3 linked regions of the Oryctolagus cuniculus genome follow. The main gene of each other region encodes a partner of the protein of the gene in region 3 in a complex. Links are inferred from orthologs where the notes say so. Each region holds a gene or a part of one and is shown on either strand. Other genes may lie near its edges. The genes, in order: XPO5, E3 SUMO-protein ligase RanBP2 and XPO1.

What was found.
Region 1: XPO1 (region 3) and XPO5 share a complex: the UniProt entries of both Homo sapiens proteins name them as parts of the nuclear export receptor complex. The link is inferred for Oryctolagus cuniculus from reciprocal best matches to the Homo sapiens genes XPO1 and XPO5.
Region 2: the proteins of XPO1 (region 3) and E3 SUMO-protein ligase RanBP2 are in contact, whole or in part, in a cryo-EM structure (PDB 9B62), measured with the Homo sapiens proteins. The link is inferred for Oryctolagus cuniculus from reciprocal best matches to the Homo sapiens genes XPO1 and RANBP2. Residues at the interface, in NP_003391.1 of Homo sapiens: Trp60, Val63, Asp64, Leu83, Asn97, Gln98, Gly101, Ile102, Lys104, Tyr105, Val107, Gly108, Ile110, Ile111, Leu134, Phe149, Asp152, Ile153, Gly155, Ala156, Ser157, Arg158, Thr159, Ser160, Glu161, Leu163, Cys164, Asn167, Leu208, Phe211; in NP_006258.3 of Homo sapiens: Val2508, Val2509, Ser2510, Pro2511, Pro2512, Lys2513, Phe2514, Val2515, Phe2516, Gly2841, Phe2842, Gly2843, Ser2845, Thr2846, Gly2847, Leu2848, Ser2849, Phe2850, Ala2851, Leu2853, Ala2854, Asn2857, Ser2858, Gly2859, Asp2860, Phe2861, Ala2862, Phe2863, Gly2864, Ser2865.

Annotation. Positions count from the first base shown.
Region 1 is NC_091436.1:126,538,329-126,541,977, reverse strand, and holds part of XPO5 (exportin-5), read right to left. Parts: intron 2,020-3,649; coding exon 1,923-2,019; intron 1,171-1,922; coding exon 1,035-1,170; coding exon of another isoform or gene 1,034-1,034; intron 770-1,033; coding exon 671-769; intron 115-670; coding exon 68-114; intron 1-67. UniProt on the Homo sapiens protein: Mediates the nuclear export of proteins bearing a double-stranded RNA binding domain (dsRBD) and double-stranded RNAs (cargos). XPO5 in the nucleus binds cooperatively to the RNA and to the GTPase Ran in its active GTP-bound form.
Region 2 is NC_091433.1:100,042,634-100,046,282, forward strand, and holds the end of E3 SUMO-protein ligase RanBP2, read right to left. Parts: intron 3,156-3,649; coding exon 2,882-3,155; intron 2,758-2,881; coding exon 2,426-2,757; intron 1,746-2,425; coding exon 1,440-1,745; 3' UTR 524-1,439; downstream 1-523. UniProt on the Homo sapiens protein: E3 SUMO-protein ligase which facilitates SUMO1 and SUMO2 conjugation by UBE2I. Involved in transport factor (Ran-GTP, karyopherin)-mediated protein import via the F-G repeat-containing domain which acts as a docking site for substrates.
Region 3 is NC_091433.1:141,245,678-141,249,326, reverse strand, and holds part of XPO1 (exportin-1), read right to left. Parts: intron 2,149-3,649; coding exon 2,100-2,148; intron 1,792-2,099; coding exon 1,672-1,791; intron 461-1,671; coding exon 332-460; intron 1-331. UniProt on the Homo sapiens protein: Mediates the nuclear export of cellular proteins (cargos) bearing a leucine-rich nuclear export signal (NES) and of RNAs.

The sequences.
Region 1 (3,649 bases), on a different chromosome or scaffold from region 3:
TCCTGCACCCGCTCCCTCTCCCCACCCAACCTGGCTGCCAGCTCGCCCCGGACCGGGTCTTCCTTACCACAAGAGGCTCCTCTGGTTGATGACTTGCCACTTCTGGGAAAGCCTCTGGGAAAACAAAGGAAGCAGGCGCTAGGATTGAGGAGAGACCTGGACTCCTAAGACCTGAGGCCCACATCGTGACGGAAATTTTCAAATGATTCCTGATACCAACAACAGAGCCTCTTTGGCTCCACATTGCAGCACCGCACACAGTTTCTGTCAGCTCTCCCACCCCCACGCTGAGGGCAGCAGGTCAAACAGCACTTTGCTTGAAAAGGACCAACACCGCTCAGAATCCCTGGTGTCTGGCCACAGCTGCTCACCGCCCAGCTCGTTCCCCTGCTTAACTCCAGGAGGGGAAGCACTGTCCTGAGCCCGTCACCCATCACAGGGGACGAGAGCAGGCCCCGCGCCTCCAGCTGCTCTGCAGGCCATTACATTGCCTAGTTTTCTGGGGGTTGCTCAACCGACTGCAGAGCTGACGGTCTGCTGGGGTGGGAGCTCTGTGCAGCTGGCCTGGCAGGGCCTAGAGACAACACAGGGAGGAGCCCACTCGCCAAACTTGCAGTGGCCACCTGCCAGTGGAGCGCTCTTGCCTCCCCTTTGCTGGCCTGTCCCTTACCATGTGGAGGTAGGTGAAGAGAGGTCCAAGGATGGGAGACACCAGTGCTTCGTAGTGCTCCGGGGGACAGAAGAGCACCAGGGGCTTCACAAAGACCCGTGCTGCGGGGCAGGTTAAGGTGTTTCAGCACACGGACCCAGCTGGGGCAGTCAGCCCGAGAGGCCTGCAGGATCGCCAGGGACTTCCTGGCTACACAGGGAGAAACCATCCCGCTGCGTGCAGCTCAATCCCATCACACTTATTTGTCCTGCCATTTACTTCAAACTTCCAGGCTTTTTAATGAGAACACGACACTGAAGACACAGCCCTCTGCCTTCCTCTGCTCTGACCTTTCAGGTTCTCGAGGAACTTTTCAAAGGATATGGAGCATGGGTCTGAGTCGGTAGTCAGGAATATTGTTCAAGTTGACAAAGGCGGAGCTAAGGAGCTGGGTAGCAAGGTCCTCCACGGTGTAGAAGTCCTGCTGCATGGAAGGGCCTGCCTTCCCGAGGATATGGAAACTGCAAGGGAAAACCAGGGGCAGTGACACATCCGGCATCTGCTACTGCCATCCCTAACTGCCCCAAGAGTTTTCAGCCAGAAAAGCGATTGTATTTGCTTCCTGAGAGCCCTTGAACTTTAAAGATGTGGGCCTAATCTTTAATCAGAAGTGAAAATACCTGCCCCTACCCTGTACCAATAAGGAAACTCCATGGAAGTACAGATTCAGCCTCTTTTTAGACAAATGTCTGTAGCCAAAATCAACAGCGGCCCTCGTTACGCTGTACGTGTTCTTACACAGGAGGCTCTCACTGGCATGACTGCTTATAGAGAACGGGATTAGTGAGGCCAAAGCTCTGCGGAGGTATGCATGAGGGCCGGGTCTGTCCCCATCCCATAGTCAGGACCGGAAGACAGACTCCTGGCCAGCGGCTGACTCACTGTCCCATGAGAGGCTGTGAGCAGTGAGGGGTCTGAGCAAGTGCAGCCTCACCAACTCTTGTCTTCCACCTGGGTCCCCTCACTTCGTGCACTAGACACAGAAAACCAGGAAATGAAACAGTCACGACCAGGACCGTGAGGCTCATAAAATAATTACCAAAACGCAAATGCAGGGAAGCTCGTTGTGCATTTTGATTTGTCCCTAAAATCATCAGTTTCCTGTCTCACATTACCCATCCACTAGCACTGGAGATCACACACCCCACTCGTGGCCACGCCCAGGCAGCAGCCACCTGGGAAGAGGGCGTGAGGGGCAGCGGTGGCTCCTTACCAGTTTTCATAGAGAGTGCTGAAGAAGCGCTGCATTCTTTCCAGAACTGTCTTGTAGACGGGGTGGTCATTGAGTTCCAGGAGAGGCTGAGGCAATCCTGCAGAGAGACACGGGCCAGGAGCATGCCGCCCTGCTCCCACGAGCCTCGCAGTGTGGTCTGGGAATGTGAGTGTGCGTGCAGGTGCTGCCACTGCAAAGCAGACGGCCGCATCGTCTGCCAGCTGGAGGTGCTGGAGCTTTCCCGAAGGTGACCTGTTACACTCTCTTGGTAGGGAAAGGACTTTGCACTAGGTCTCAGCACTCTCATTTTTGCCATGACATGATTACATATATATTTATATGTAATATATATATTTTTTCCAGGTGGAACAGGAAGTAAAACAGAGACAAGTCAGGATCTCAAAACATTCTAGTTTGTCTGTCTAGTTGGCAACATTATATATATGTAGATTTATTTATCTGAAAGGCAGAGTTACAGGGAAATCCAGAGAGATCTTCCATCCTCTGCTTCACTCCCCAAATGGTCCCAATGGCAAGAGGTATGTATGCTAGGCTGAAGCCAGGAGCCTAGAACTCCATCTGGGTCTCCCACATGGGTGGCAGGGCCCACGTACTTGGTCCACCTTTCACTGCTTTGCCAGGTGCATTAGCAGAGAGCTGCATCAGAAGTAGAGCAAGGGCTGGCGCTGTGGCATACTGGGTAAAGCTGCCACCTGTAGTGCTGGCATCCCATATGGGTGCTGGTTCCTGTCCTGGTTGCTCCAATTCCAATTCAGCTCCTTGCTAATGCGCCTGGGAAAACAGAAGATTGTCCAAGTCCTAGGCCCCAGTACCCATGTGGAAGACCTGGAAAAACTCCTGGCTCACGGCTTTGGCCTAGCCCAGCTTCAGCCACGAGGACATTTGGGGGGTGAACCAATAGACCGAAGATCTCTCTCACCCTTTCAAATAAAAAATAAATAAATCTTAAGAAAAAAAAAAAAAAAAGAAATGCAGCAGCTGGGACTCAAACTGCTGCTCACATGGGATGCTGGCGTCACAGGTAGCAGGTGGTGGCTTAACCTACTGTGCCTCAACACCAGCCCCAGGACGCATAATTTTTTTTTTCTAAAGATTTATTTATGTATTTGAAAGTCAGAGTTACACAGAGAGGGAAGGAGAGGCAGAGAGAGAGAAAGAGAGAGAGAGGTCCTCCATCTGCTGGTTCACTCCCCAGATGGCCACAACGACCAGAGCTGTACCCATCTGAAGCCAGGAGCCAGGAGCTTCCTCTGGGTCTTCCCATGCGGGTGTATGGGCCCAAGGACTTGGGCCATTTTCTATTGTTTTCCCAGGCCATAGCAGAGAGTTGGATTGGAAGTGGAGCAGCCGGATCTCGAACCAGAGCCCATATGGGATGCTGGCACTGGTACTGCAGGTGGTGGCCTTACCCACTATGCCACAGCACCAGCTCCGTGGAATACAAAATTCTAAACCAAGGGTTTCTGATTTGAGTAATGCAATGTTGTAGGAGAATGTGGCAAAACTACACCTTGTTTCTGTATTAATGGGAATATGGGTCTTGGAAATTCTATTTTTACTAGAGTCTGCAATGTGAATTTTAGTGTAGTGGTGCCAAAGAAAAGATCCAGGACTACCCAAGGCCAAGACAGACAGACATGAGCTCTGGAAAAGCAAAGTGACACCCATCCTTAGGTTACCTTCACAACTGAGGAATGCTCACTGGA
Region 2 (3,649 bases), about 41 Mb from region 3:
CGTATGCAGTTCACGGTTCCCTTCAAGGTTCAGGTAATTCACCTGAACTGTTGCGGCTGGGTTACTTCTGGCAGCTTCAAGTTGATTTAGTGCTGGTATTCAATCATTCATTATTCACACACATCACGCGTGGCATCCCTGCCATCGGCTGCATGGCATTCTCTGCATGACGCCCCATTTCCACGTCACCACACAGGGAACAAGGAACTGTCTCACTGAGAGGCACACAGGGTGGAAGACGGTCAATACTCATGATCACAATACACACAATTTTCTGCTCTGACTGGGTTCTTTGTGGTTCTACGTGAAGTCTGCCAGTAAGAACATGTTTTAAAGCAGTTTGCCTAACTTGTGACACAAGCCACTTTTAACTGCATTTCAGTGTATCAAACTTGGGAAGTATTCCTTCGGGGGCTCTGGAAATTACGCGGCAGCTTGAGTTAACAGTACTGACCTTTAATTGCCCTCTGTACTTCAGTCTAATACTAGAATGAACAGACAACTAGATGCACAAGTAATGAACTTTTTAAATATCATGACTGTTGTCAATTGTCACTTTATTTCTGCTACAAAAGTCACCAGAAAAAGATACTGCAACAATCTAGTATAAAGCAAATCTTTAACCAAAGAACATGGTATAGACCTTTAAAAATATTCATACTTTATCACAATAACTGCAAGGAAAAATTCAATTTCTATCATCAGGACCAAGTTGAAATTGCTGAGGTAGTAGAGACAGATGACAAAAAAGTTTGTTTTCTTTTTTTAAAAAAGGAAATAGTCAATTTGCTTAAAATGTAAAAAATTAATTTAACACCTTTGAAAGGGCACAGAAGCTATATATTTTAGGCAAAGAAGGTACTCTACTTAAAAGTTCATTTGTAAACTATACAAGAGGTGTAAGATTACAGAAGAGCACTTTGGTTAACTCTACCTTCTGTGGCACTACCCATTCATAAATGAGTCTCTATGCATAAATGAGCACACCAACAGTTAAGGTTACCAAATATATTTCAGATCCAAAATAAAATTATCCAAGTTGTGGTCCCTTACTCAAATGTTAAGTATTTCCATGCTGGAAGTCCACATATATTTAAAGGAATTAAAATTAAATTGCATATATTTAATCCCTTCAATAGTCTGTGAAGGTATATTGCTTTTAACAAGATTATTATTACTATTCCATTTTATTACAGATATATCAGGAGTACATAAACACAAGTACACCTGAAATACACCAGTGTTTAAACTTTTATTTCACACCATGCAAGGTCAATTATAACACATTAAAAAGTGACAACAGCTATGAGCTGCAATTGTACATTTATACATTGGAAACGTCCATTTTCAAAAGCTGAACATAATTACCATATTGTAACAGCTAAGCTTTGATTCAACTGCTTATACAGATAAAATTTACTACAAAAAACCCAATGATTTTATATCTGTCCACATTCTGTGATGCTAATTCTTCGACTAACAGACCCTTTAGGAGAACCAAATGACTCAATCTTTTTCACAGTATCCATGCCATCCTTAACAAACCCAAATACTACATGCTTGAAGTCCAAATGTTCTGCTTTTCCCAGTGTTATAAAAAATTGAGAATTATTGGTATTTGGGCCCCTATTGGCCATTGACAGCAAGCCAGGACCAGTGTGTTTCACATCAAAATTTTCATCTTCAAATTTATCTCCATATATAGACTTTCCTCCTGTTCCATCATGTTTGGTGATATCTCCCCCCTGAAAGAAAAATTTAATTACTAGGAATTCTCAGTCAAACACTGAATTACACACAGAATTCATCACTGCAGGCTAAGTCCTAAACAACCAGCTTCCTGAAGAATGCAACTTAAGGGGCCAGCATTGTGACTCAGTAGGTTAAACTGCCACCTGTAATCCCAGCACCCCATATTGGAGTGCTGGTTCAAGTCCAGGCAGCTCTATTTCCAAACCAGCTTCCTGCTACAGCACCTGGGAAAGCAGAAGATGGCCCAAGTATCTGAGCCCTGACACCCATGCATTGACCAACTCTACTGTTCTGGGCATCTGGGGAGTGAACCAACAGATGGAAGGTCTCTCTCACTTTGTCTTTTAAACAAGGAAATAAATCTTTGCACTCCCTCCCCCAAAAAAGCTCTTTGAAAACTAAGAAATATGTATTTTTGAAAGACAATTAAGAAATTAAAACGTCCATCACTTCCCCACCCTCTTACACCCCAGTTAACAGAAAATTCAGACCCATTTAGGTTGAAACTTTTTGGCAGAGCTAGGAATTAGGGTGATAAAACCAATTAATGTGTGGGCAATCTACAGAAATTTTCACACTACAGCATAAGATCAGGAAGGAACACTCAACTTCCTGAGTTTATGCAGCACACACTCTTCTCTAGATTTCAATTCTGATGGACAATCATACTTACTTGGCAAAGACAATCTGGAATTACTCTGTGAAAAATGGAGTTCTTGAAACCAAAGCCCTTCTCTCCAGTACACAGTGCTCTGAAGTTCTCAGCAGTCTGAGGAACGATGTTTGAAAATAACTCCATGGTTATACGCCCTAAAGGTTCATCATCGGCACAAATGTCAAAAAACACCACAGGGTTGGTCTCTCTTGACAATTCTGCCAGTGAAACATGCCCTTTCTGGAGTTGCAATAAATTCTGTTGACATTCTTCAAACTTTTTCTTAAAACAATCAGCCATTTCTTTTGTTTTAAATCTCACTGCAAGCTGTTCCACTTTTGCTTCTCCATCTATTGGGATAAAAATGGAGAATACCTTTAAGATTAAAATAATCACTACCAACTGAATAACATGTTTGTTATGGGTTCAGGAAAGACCAAAAATGAAAAGTAGCATTCCCAAATAGAAACTCACCAGCATAATCTGAAGCAGTCCAAACTAAAGCATTATTTGAAACATTTAAGGGTTTTAATTCCATTGTTTTGGTAATAACATGGTTTGCACACACTTTGAAGACCTGGTCTCTCCTCATTAGGATCCGATAATAGTTCTTCATCCTATGCCAAAGGATCTTTATGTCTCCTACACCACGCTCCTTCCACTGGCTGGCATCACGATCCCATCTGTAAAGTTTGGCTCTCTCTTTAAACACAACTTCTTCATCTTCTTCTCCAGATTTTACTTCTACCTGGATTAGCAGAAGCAATTACCTATAAGCTGTTGCATATAACAAGTTTCAAATATTCAAATTCTTTAAGACATTTTCTTTGTAATGACGTTAACATCATAATGTGCTCACTGGTAAATATCCAGGCACAACAAATTCATCTGATTTGGTTGAAGCAGGAGGGAGCAAATTTATTATTAAATAGTTTTCTTTTAAACAGTATTCATTTGCATTTTAAAAATTGCTTCCTATATTGTAAACAAAAAGTTTCAAGAAGTCCCTGTTCCTGAAGAGAAACATCAACCACTGATCCAGGCTAAAAAAAAAAGAGGACAATTTTCCTAAAACAATAATCTTGTTCAAAAAATGTAAAGGTTATTTATATTTACTTTTGTGGGTTCAGTTTTGCCGATTTTATTGAGTCAATTCCAACTAGGAACAACAAAATAAATTTCTGCAAGTATAAATGTGATACGGGTTAAAACCCACTGTTCTATAACTAAAGATTTTCAAAC
Region 3 (3,649 bases):
TTCCTATCTAGCTCTCTGCTATGGCCTGGGACTGCAGTAGAAGATGGCCCAAGTCCTTGGGACCTGCACCCGTGTGGGAGACCCAGAGGAAGCTCCTGGCTTTGGATCGGCACAGCTTCAGCCACTGCAACCAACTGGGGAGTGAACCATCAGATGGAAGACCTCTCTCTCTCTCTCTCGAACTCTTTCAAATAAATAAATCTTAAAAAAATAAAAACACAATATCTCAATACACTTGATGTGTAACACATGGAGGTAAAATATCTGAACTTGAATCCAACATTTTCTAAGGCACAAAAATGGTTCCATTTTCAAGATAGCAGACTATTACCTGTTTTAGCTGCATCATTGTCAGTGTAAATAGCGTTACAAATTGTTCCTCATATTGGCTTACACTCACACCAGCAATCTCGGTGAGGCACTTCAGAGAGACATTTCGAAACATTGGAACATTCAGGAACTATATTTTTAAAAAAGAGAAACATAAAATTAAATAGCTGAAGCACATGATGCTTAAGATAAACATTTTAAGGAAAGGAAAAGATTTAACAATCAGAAACAAGTTAGCAGTCAAATAGGTAAGTGAATGATATGCCTTATTTTAGAGATTATTTTAAGGAAATTCCATCATCTAAGGAATACTATGAATTTGGAGAAAATATATAAGTGGCAAAGCTATCAGTGGGTGGCAGTTTGGTAAGCATTAAAAGCCTTAGCCTATTACATTCTATTCATAAGACACCTATAAAGACTTAAATTGAACAATAACTATACCACTTACAGTAACATTTAATTAAATATATGTCCTAGAAATAGTTGCAGAATTGAAAACTTGAGACTTAATGGGATAGAAATAGACATATATGGGCCATGAGTATCTATTCAAGTCCTGCCTGCTCTGCTTCCAATCTAGCTGTTTATGCATTTGGCAAAACAGTACAAGACTAGTACGGAATATTGGGCTGCTGGCTTTGGCTTGAAACAGTCCCTGCAGTTAGGGCCATTTGGGGGATGAACCAATAGACAGAAGAGATATGTCTCTTTTTCTCTGTAACTCTGCCTATTTTTCAAGTAATAAATCTTTTAAAAAAGGACATGTCTATTGACCTGCTAATTCCATTTTAAACAAATTTACTGGAAGGAAATGCTTGATATGAGTATAAATATCCTATATACACAAGAATGTAGCTGAGAGTGAAGGGGTGACTGGTTAAGTGGCTGAACTGTTGGGATGCAAACATTCCTTTTTTTTTTTTTTAAAGAGTATCATGGTTTAGGTCCTGCCTCTTCCCAAGATTCCCCAGCTTCTGGGAAGTAGCAGGTAATGCTTCAAGTAAGTGGGATGCCTAAACTGAGGTCCAGTCTAGGCCCTTGAGGGCAATCTGAGAAATGACCCAACAGAAGGGAGCAGTTTGTCTCTTTCCCAGCCTCTCAAATAAATGAAAAACAGAAAAGGTGACTAAATATAATCAAGTCTGTCATTTAAATTAAATGAAATTATAGGATATAAGTGGCAGAATCACAGAATTTGACTCATTTCAATTACTAGCTATAATTATGGAAACATTCCTTTTGTGCACTGTCACCTCAGAAACACTGGCTATGCAGAAAGATCTTTACAACTTAAAAGGATATATACAAGTAAGCAGTAACAAAATATATTCATACTACCTTATAAATTAATGTGCTAATTAACTTGGTCTCAAAAATATATCCCAGTGGAATCCAGTTCAGAAACCTGAGCAGTGTTTCCAAGGTTGCATGTACAAGTGGAGCATTTTGAGAATTTTCCTGTAATAAAAACACATCTGTAAATATTATTTTCCTATAACTTATTTTTGAAAATGAAACTAAGGGCAGGCACTTCAGTTCCATACATTAAATTTCTAATTAAGGCACATCCTGGGAGGCGGCAGTGATGGCTGAAGTAACTGGTTTCTTGTCACTCAAATAGAAGACACAGATTGAGTTTCCCAGCTCCTGGTTTTGGCCTTGCCCTAACCTCAGCTGCTGCAAGCATTTGGGGAGTGACCCAGCAGCTAGGCACACAGCCTCTTAGGGCTTGGTTTTGAAATAAAAAACAAATTAAGAGCACTTACCATCACAAACTGACACAGCTGAAATATCTGTGAGAACTCATTGCACATGCTTAAAAAAAGAATAACAGGTTCCAATTTAGAAGACAAATAAACACCACATTTATATACTAATAAAATCATTAAAAATTTCATGATTTTAATGACCTGTCATCAGTCAGAACTTGAGTGACTTCAATTTCAACACACTTAAAGTACCAATCAAAAGCAAGCTGTTAAAACTACAAACACTAAGGCCAGTTTTGGCACAGCGGGTTGGGTTCCTGCCTGAAATACTGGCATCCCACTGGTCAAGTCCCAGCTACTCCAGTTCTAATCCAGCTCCCAGCTAATGCACCACAGAGGGCAGCAGAAGATGCTGGGTACCTGCCACTATGTGGGAGACCTGAATGAATTCCAGGTCCTGGTTTCACCTGTCCCAGTCCAGGCTGTTGTGTCCATCTGGGAAATGAACAGGTGGATGGCTATTAGACATTCTCTCTTTCTCTCTCCATCTCTGACTGTAACTCTGCCATTCAAAAAATAATTCTTTAAAAACAAACCCAAAAGCACTCTCTAATTCTCACCTAAAAGGACTACTGTCAAAAAAAAAAAAAACAAAAACAAAAAAACAAAACTTCATTTCTTAGGAGTTTGGTTTTTTGACACATTTACTCTTATTTTATCCCTTCAATAATCTCTCAAGTTTTCTCAAGTTTTGTTCTCTTTAATGCACATACTTGAAAGAAAACTCTCCAAACAAAATAGCATTACATAGAGTAGCTCCTCCCTTCCCCAAAAGGAGGTATGTTCCAATCCCTAGTGGTTGCCTGAAACCATGAATAATACTGAGCCCCTATATATTCTACCTATTTCCATATACAGACTTGTGATAAAGTATCAATTAGTATGTAGTTTACATATTAAGTATACAAAAAACATACAGATTAACAATAATATAAGGCACTAAAAAGTTATGATTGCAGTTTCTCTCAATATCTTATTGCAACCACTAACAGCTTCTCTTTGGCATATTCAAATTGCCAGCATGGTTACTCTTGCACTGTAAGCACTAATACCATAAAAGACTATTTGAAACTCTAGATAGCTACAATCTGATTAAAGGGTAAGTAGCAGCTCATCCTCATACAATGTGGATACGCTGAATGAAAGAATGATTCTTATCTTGGGTGGGACAAGGGACAAATTTCAACCCATAACTCGGAATTATGTGCAATTTAGATTTACAGCAAGACAGAAATCTGCTGGTTCACTCTCCAAAAGACTGCCCCAGCCAGGGCTGGGCCAAGTCAAAGCCAGGAGCCTGGAACTCCTGTGTGGCAGGGGCCCAAGTACTTGGGCCATCTTTTCCTGCTTTCCTAGGCACATCTGCAGGAAGCTGGATCAGAAGCAGAGTAGCCAGGAGGCCAGGGGCTAACATGGCACACCAGTGTCCCATGTAACGGTTAACCTACTATACCACAACACTGGCCCGTTATTATGTTTCAAAGTATTTTGCATTTAGTATTTTCAGCCATGTTTGACAGCAGGCAATTGAAACAATGGAAAAACAA